Neurospora crassa OR74A: one gene and its partner. The protein of the gene in region 2 binds, or shares a complex with, the protein of the main gene of each other region. Links are inferred from orthologs where the notes say so. Each region holds a gene or a part of one and is shown on either strand. Other genes may lie near its edges. The genes, in order: NCU03889 and NCU04943.

What was found.
Region 1: NCU04943 (region 2) and NCU03889 share a complex: the UniProt entries of both Schizosaccharomyces pombe proteins name them as parts of the SNARE complex. The link is inferred for Neurospora crassa OR74A from reciprocal best matches to the Schizosaccharomyces pombe genes bos1 and sft1.

The regions. Positions count from the first base shown.
Region 1 is NC_026506.1:2,053,138-2,057,399, reverse strand, and holds NCU03889 (SNARE), read right to left. Parts: upstream 2,801-4,262; 5' UTR 2,193-2,800; coding exon 2,058-2,192; intron 1,992-2,057; coding exon 1,830-1,991; 3' UTR 690-1,829; downstream 1-689. Other genes in the region: NCU03890 (stromal membrane-associated protein), read left to right, coding at 1-689; NCU03888 (DUF500 and SH3 domain-containing protein), read left to right, coding at 3,507-3,543, 3,642-3,745, 3,804-4,262. UniProt on the Schizosaccharomyces pombe protein: Vesicle SNARE required for retrograde transport within the Golgi complex.
Region 2 is NC_026504.1:819,363-823,148, reverse strand, and holds NCU04943 (V-SNARE protein Bos1), read right to left. Parts: upstream 2,167-3,786; 5' UTR 1,950-2,166; coding exon 1,947-1,949; intron 1,845-1,946; coding exon 1,053-1,844; 3' UTR 753-1,052; downstream 1-752. Other genes in the region: NCU04944 (thiamine pyrophosphokinase Thi80), read left to right, coding at 1-543; NCU11043 (hypothetical protein), read right to left, coding at 2,827-3,153, 3,499-3,775. UniProt on the Schizosaccharomyces pombe protein: SNARE required for targeting and fusion of ER-derived transport vesicles with the Golgi complex.

The DNA of each region.
Region 1 (4,262 bases), on a different chromosome or scaffold from region 2:
TTTCCGGCCTAAGCGGTGGCAGCTTCTTCGATTCCAAGCCCGCCACATCCTCCCACCAATCCAAGCAGTCCATCAGCAGCCCACTGGGCTTCTCATCAACCCCTCCTCCTGCGCCAGCCTCTAAGCCCGCGCCCGCTTCCTCCGCCCTCGGTGACCTGTTTGACTTTTCCACAACAGCTACTGCTACTACCGCTCCTCCCTCGGCCGCCGCCCCGAAGCCTTCATCTGACTTCAGCTCCGCATTCAACCTTTCCAAGCCCGCCGCAACCACGCCGGCCCCTGCAGCCGTTACTTCAACAACACCAAACCCTCTTGCCTCTATTGCGACGTCTAACGCCTGGTCAGATGCAGGTGTATGGGGTTCCAACGAGTGGGCCTCCGCCCCTGAGCCCCCCAAGCCTGCGGCTCCTGAACCGCCCAAGCCAGCACCTGTTACCTCTATCCCTCTTTCTAACGATTTTGGATGGGGCAACAGCACCACCACCTCCTCCACTACCGGCGGCTCCTTCGCAAGCCAACCTATTGTCCCCAGCGCTTCGGGCGGCTTTGCCCCAGCACCAAAGGTGGCGGCCGATGAGGAGTTTGGGGGCTGGATGAGCAGCACTACCACACCAGCTGCTCCGAGCGGATCCAAGCCGGCTACCGGTTTTGGTGGCAGTGACGACCTGTTCTCAAACGTCTGGCAATAAGAAACCTTAGAACGACAATTCAGGGATCTCCGACATGGGGTTCAGAGGTAACCGAGTGCAGTCTACTGGGATTTTTGCTGTTGTCCTCGCGCCTGATGCCGACCATGTAAATATATAATCAACCGGCAGGTGATGTGAGAAATAGCTCGGACAAACTTATACCAAACCAAACCAAACCCATCAAGCGTCCGAACTTGTTTTTCCTTCTATACCACCTGACTGGAAAGGGGATGCTATCCACGAACACCATGTCGTACTTATGCTGTGGGAGTCTGATCTAGTTAAGAGTTAGGCAAATGATGGTTTATGCGTGACAAATAGGGGAATGATGAACAACGCAGTCATTCTTACATCAGCAAGTCATGTTTTGTTTTGGCATATTTACATTATAGACAACAAGTTATTGTTCGTTGGTAGGGCAAAAGTAATGCACTTTTATATAGGATCCTCCTATCTTTTGTAAGGTGTGTGTTGCCCTCATTAATGTCCTTCTGATGTCCTTGAAGTTTCAAAATGAAAAATCAAGGATGAGACTGAGAAATGTCGATGTCTGGCTTATACGACACGACGTATCAATGACAACCTAAGGTACGCAGAAACCAAATCCCAAATAAACAAACAAAACCGAACCGTCAACGCCATTGCTATGCCTTTGCATCTACCCGTCTGTTGTCGAGACAAAACATTAAGCCCAGTCTGTAAACCAAAATCCACACTTCGTTCAGAATCCACCAAAACACAGACCTACGGTCCTGCGTGACCTGCTACCCTCCCACCCATTGCCCCACCCTACATTGCACCTCCTCTGCGCAATACTAGTAGCGGCTTTTGTGGGAGCAAGCGGACTGCACATCGCCTGTACCAGCACTCCAACATCCAACAAGCTATCCGGACAAGCTCCATCCTGTCTTGATGTCCGGCTTCGCACGCATCCGTCTTATCATTCCTGATATTTGTCGGGAATCGAATCGTGCCGCCCTCTACATCCTTCGCCCTGTGTTGTTGTAGTGAACCCGATGAAGAGAACCTCCCTTCCTTTTGCTTCCTGGCATGTATTCGCATGTCGAAGTTCAATAGACCCAATAGACCCAATATTCAAACGACTTTAGCCCTCTCACACGTCGTGACTTTTTGAATCATTTAACCAACAAAAAGTCGATAAAGATAGTAAATGACCAGGAAGCTCCCAATAAGAATACCCGAGAGCTTGAGAATGGCGACCTTGTTCCCCGATGCGGCCATGCGGCCTAGACGGGTGGCGGAACCTTTGAGTTGAGAGCCCATGGAGGAGAAGGTATCGGTCTGTTCGTTGTTGGTGGGACTTGTCAGTTTGTTATTTTGTGCAGAGTAAAATCAAAGGAACCGTACCGTTTGGTCGATAACTTCGTGGTTGCGCGCCTGGTCGTAAATGTCAATCGTTACACCTCGAAGGGCAGAAACCTTGGAGGCTAGCTCGTCGAGGCGCGCATTATTTTGGCGCTCGCGCTCGTAGTTTGCGGACATCTTGATAATGGTAATGGGGGGGGGTTGTGTTGTGGTCGTAGTTGTATGTTGCGACTCGCTCAGCGGCCGTGTGGGAGGTTCACTCGTCAGTTTTGAGTATCGGGTTAATTGGAACTCGCTGATATGGCCCGAGTTTCGTATTATCGAAGATGTTATTACGTGTTATTTTGTCGCGCGCGCGGGGGTCGGCTTCGGTGTCTTGCAGCGTCCGTTGTTCGGAGTGAAGCCGTGGTGTTCCTAGGTATTGCTGAGTGCTATGGGGATGTCAAAAGGGGGTAGGTTGTAGCAGGTTCCAGATGCACTCAGTTCAGGGTCACAATGAAAGGACACCGGGATCATGCATCCATCATGATGGGGGCGGCCGGCTCACTGCAGCTTGTTGATGCATACACCAGCCACAGCTACGGCCTCCTAGTCGCGAATGATGTCAGTTTCGGCCATTTACGTGTGGCTGCGCGTAAAGCACATGCATGGTCAATGCGGGGTCTTTTTCGGGGGGAGCGGAGCCTGCTGGAGCCATTTGATTGTGCTCGTGGTCGGGCCACTGCAACTTTGGGTCCCGTCAGTCAGTCACCTACGTAACGACGAACGCCCGCTCTGCTCTGCCCGCTGGACAAGGCCCGGGTATTCAAAGTGGAAGGTGCAGGGCGCAGGGACGGAGTAAAGTAGAGAAGTAGAGGTACAGTAGTGTACGCTACTGCACAGCCCACGGCGGCAGTGCTTGCCCAAGCCCATCCCAGCGTCTCCAGTGATTGAGGGTCCAGTGCTACAGTTCTCACATGACGCGCGGCACGAGCTCCAGCTTCCATTTCCAAGTACTTCCATTTCAAATGTTGACTGTGATGAATTCCATGCCACTGTTTAGCCTCGCTCATCAGTTACTCCGATCTGTGAAGAAGAGGGAAAAAAACAAACTCTCAAACGGACAGTTACACCAACAAAAGAGCACGCACAAAGGCTTATCCTCCGGGAACAAGATCGTTCATCACGAACAACAAGTGACCCCAAGGATCTCCCCAGCATCTTGACAAACCGCCGTTGTGGGGACGCCCAGGTACCAACCTCGCATTTACTATGTACACAAGAAATTGACCGGGCTGATCTGCTTACTTGCTTGCCTGCCAGTGTGCCTGCAGGCATTGATCGGCCAGTGTCCCGAGAAATGACTGACGAACTCCATCTCTTTCTTTCTTTCTAATATTTCGCTGTCGCTGTCGCATTTCCACGGCATTCTCACCGCAGCCGCTCTACACGCCCTCGCCCTTCAAGACCCGCGCCAGTCCGCTATAGGGAGTTCCGCTTCGACACTTCAAGATGGGTATCAACAACCCTCTTCCGTCGTCACTTTCGTGTGAGTTTGTGTCCCCGGGGTTCCCGTGCTGTGCGAGCCCGACCCCGCAACTCCCCTTCGCTTCGCCGAATCCGACATCCTAACACGTCTGTAACCAGCGGAATGTAAGAAGTGCGGTAAAATCCTCGCCTCCTTCATCGAGCCCAAACAAGCCTTTGGTCCCGACAAGGTGATACCGCCATCAGTGCTCGCGAATGCCAAGGTACGAAACAGCATCCGCAACCTCAACGAAAGCGACCAGGTGGTTAACGTTCTCCTAGGGTCTTGCTATACTCACCGTCATCAAAGCTGGTTTCCTCGGATCTGCCCGTTTCGGTAGCGGCCTGGTAGTCGCCCGCCTCCCCGACGGCAGCTGGTCTGCCCCCACCGCCATTGCTACGGGTGGTGCCGGCTTCGGCGGTCAGATCGGTTTCGAGCTTACAGATTTCGTTTTCATTCTCAACGACGCGAGCGCCGTAAAAACCTTCGCCCAAGCTGGGTCACTTACACTTGGTGGTAACGTTTCGGTCGCGGCCGGGCCTGTCGGTAGAAATGCCGAGGCCGCCGGAGCCGCTTCGCTGAGAAGCGTAGCGGGCATCTTCAGTTATTCCAAGACCAAGGGCTTGTTTGCTGGCGTGTCTCTCGAAGGTTCTATGATAATCGAGCGAAAAGACGCCAATGCAAAGCTCTATGGTCGTCAGGTTTCCGCCAAGGAGCTCCTTTCAGGAGCCGAGCGCCCC
Region 2 (3,786 bases):
ACCCACTCCTCTTCTCCCACTGCCAGCCAAACTGCAATCATCCACGAACCCAGCCAATACTCAACCGACTTTGCCAAGTCCGTTGACTACCTCCGCGGCCCCTCTTGCTCCAAACCGGACGCTCCACCCCCGGACATCGTCGCTATCGGCGGTCTCGGCGGCCGCGTCGACCAGGGCCTCTCCCAGCTTCACCACCTCTACCTCTTCCAGTCCTCGCCCACCTATGCGGACGGGAGGATGTACCTTTTCAGCGGGGAATCGCTCACTTTCCTGCTCAAATCGGGAACCCATCGCATCCGGGTGCGTGAGCCAGGCCAGGCGAATCAACCGGAGAAAGATGTATTCGCCAAGTGGGTGGGGATCTTACCGGTCAAAGAACCGAGCAGGATCTGGACAAAAGGATTGGAGTGGGATGTGGAGGATTGGCCGACTGAGTTTGGCGGGCAGGTTAGCACGAGCAATCATGTCTTGCCGGAGACGGAGGTGGTGGAGGTTAGGGCGACGAAGGATGTCTTGTTTACTATTGCGCTGAGGGACCTTTAGGGGGTGTCCTTTGGTGTGGTGGGGAGGAGACGCATGACGGGGGATTGGTTGGGTAGTTGGGTATAAGTTATAACCTCAAGGAGAGGAGAGGCCTGACTCGACCACCCGCGAGGAAAGATCAGAGGTGAAAATAGAGGGTACTCTGCTGTCAAACAACTACTGTTCCGGTCATTTTTTCTGCGTCCCGTACATGGTGGATGAAGGGAAAGGGCATATGGTACCTTTGTTTTGAATTGTTCACGCATTGCTGCCCATGATATTAGACCATGTTTGTTTAGTTAAAAAGTAAACCAGGCCAAGCCCAACACCCAAAACTCCGCGCTTGATGACTGTGAGACAGATGCCGCCGTCGCCGGGCCCCATGCCGCAATCTGAACGGACCTTCGCTAAGAGTCCTCCTCCACCGCTAATAAAATAACCCATCAACAATTAGTCCCGTCTGTCTCTTTTTCTTTTTTCCTTTCCCAAAAGACCCATGTTTCGACCACCAACGCAGCAACAAGCAAAGCTCACCTCAAATAATGCAACACCAACCAACAGAACAAGAAGAAAACCACCACGCCTCCCCAAAAGATCCACTTATCCTGCTTCGCCCTCCGCTCAATCATCCTGATCGTATCGCCACTGATCCCCAGCGTGTTGCCAACCGAGTACAGCTTCCGCTGCGTGTTCTTCATGATTTCCCTCTGTTGATTCAGATCCCCCAGCACCGCCTGGCCCCGCGCAATGTAATCGTCGAGCGCCGAGTGCGTGCTCCTAAAGAAATCCTGCTCCCTCAGCGCATGCTGCTCGCGACTCGCGTCCCCGGAGCCCAGTATGCCGCTGCTGCTGCTGCTCTGCATCCTCCCCGACTCCGCCAAGCTATTCGTCCTGGCATGCGATATTCCATACCCTCCACCACCCGTAGCGCTGCTTGTCGCCGTCGCACCAGCACCCGCATACGGATTCTCAGGCGTACTGGCCACAAACGGCCTGCGTCCCAACAGCTCGGCGCGGTTCTGCGCGTGCATGTGTTCCTCGCGCTTGGATTTCAGAGAGTCCAGCTGCGTGCGGAAGTCGTGCAGCTCGGACCGGAAGTTGCGTATCCTCTCGTAGGCCTTTTCTTGCTTGGCGGCGTTGAGCTCCTGCTTGGCGAGGTGGTTGTATTCGTCAATGGTCCGGTTGAAGGCGGTTAAGGAGGCCGAGAGGGAGCCCAAAGCGGCGGGCGTGAGAGAGGTCGGGTCGAGCTCGTGCGAGGAGAGGGCGGCGAGGTCCTTGCGGATGGAGGTGCTCTGCTTGAGAGCCGAGTTGAAGGTTGTGTTCTGGAAGAACAGAGGAGATGTTAGTTCAAGATAGTATGTATGGTTCATGAGAAGGGAATGGTGATGGTGTCTGTTGCTGGAGTGCCGTGCTGGTTGACTGACCATGTTGGGCTGACTTTCAGGGGTTCATGCGACAGTCGCTGAGCTTCGAAGCAAGACAAGCAAGCAAGCAGCAATGCTTCTCGTTGATGAGAGATGAAGTGAAGAGGATATTGTGTATTAGAAGCTATAGTAGATGGGTTACAAAACGATGGACCCCCAGAGTAGATAGGTAGCTTCAAGCTAAGTATTGTCAAATGCTTCTGGAAGCTTTGCAAGGTGGCATCTGCAATCGTTTAGAGTTGCGATTTGGACGGGAGTCTGGGATGCTTGCTCGAGGCTGTCTTGGCGGCTGCAGTTTAGCGCCGCGGATAGGGTGTATCTAACAGTTAGGTAGCTCCCGCCGGGTCTGGGCGCAAGTGGGTTTTGTGGGGAACTGTCCACAGCCATGGAGTGGAGGGATTCAGTTCCTTTTTCTGCTCTTCCACGTCAACCCCGTCCTCACCATCTTTCTTCACCAAGTGCCAACCACACCAGAAGACATGGAATCAAGAGCGCGTCCATGTACGATGCAAAGACGCTCAGGAACTCAAGCATGAGCCTGCAGGACCGCGTCAAACCTCCTTGCAGCTGCTCGTATGACATGTCATGCGCATCATCCTATGTTGGCATCACTTCGAGGACCAGGAATTGGCCAATCACTACTTAGCCAGATACAGCGATATACGGAGGAGGGACTCTTGATGAACCTCCCTTGAGTTTGACATGGTTCTCTGGATTCCACTCTAGCAGTCCACGAAGCTGCCCAAAGGAAATTGACATACTCTCTTCGATCCACCGGCACCCCATGACTTACGGTATTGGAGTCAACATACGGATGCTCTGGATGAGCGTCAATACAAAACCAATCCGCCTTGGTCGCAATTTTCCGAGTCTCGTTATCCTACCGGAACGAGCAAGTCTTCGGCGCAAGAGACTGTTGACCAGCGCCAAATGAACCGGTATACCAGGTTTCGGCATCACTCAGTTTGACGTCGTCATGGTAGACGAACACTGGGAAGTCGAAGAGGCTATTCTGAGTGTTGAGCCACAGGTTGAAGCTGATGGCTGCCAAGCTCATGCCGTCACCTGTGCTTTTGTCGAGCTCAAAGTTACCGAGGACCCGTGAGGGAGAGACGACAGAAGAGATGGTACTACCGTATACGATCGGGATGGGATCTTCGATAGTGTAGGGGACGTTGTTGAGAGGGCTTGGTCTTGAGCGGGGACACTGTCGGCTTGACAGTACGTGGCTTTCGACTCATACTGCACGTCACGTCAGAGGGAGAGTGGTGCTTCCTGTGCTTGCGATGCTTGCTCTATGGAGTCCTCGGGGTTAGCAGCCTTTTCCGCCCGAAAAAGACGGCCGATAAACCTACGGCTTTGCAGAATCCACATCGTCACATTACCACGTTTCGTTGCTCTTCAACTCCTAGTTTCTCGGGCACAATACGGCATTTGTTGTCTGGGTGCTATACCGACTCTTACGATCTGTACGCCCGCTGCAGTTAATCCGAAGACGTGGATCCTCTCCCGCGTCGGTCAGGAAGTAGTAGAGGCAACCGACTACATGCACCGTGGCTTCATTGGTGACTTGGAACTGGATTGACCGAGTCTGAATGTCAGAAGGTCCGTCTCCAGTCTCGTGGATGAAGATGATGGTTCCCAGTGTCCACTTTGGCGTTTTGGAAAGGGTACCACAGCCTGGATTCTTGTGCCCCGGCGGTCCCTCGGCGTATGCAGGCGTGATCGCATCAGGTCTTGAAAGCGAGCTCTTTATCAAGTCCACTGGGCTGGATGATTTGCACGCATCGCCGCCACAAATGAGAGGAATAGATGAGTTGCCAGATGCCCTGTATGCAGC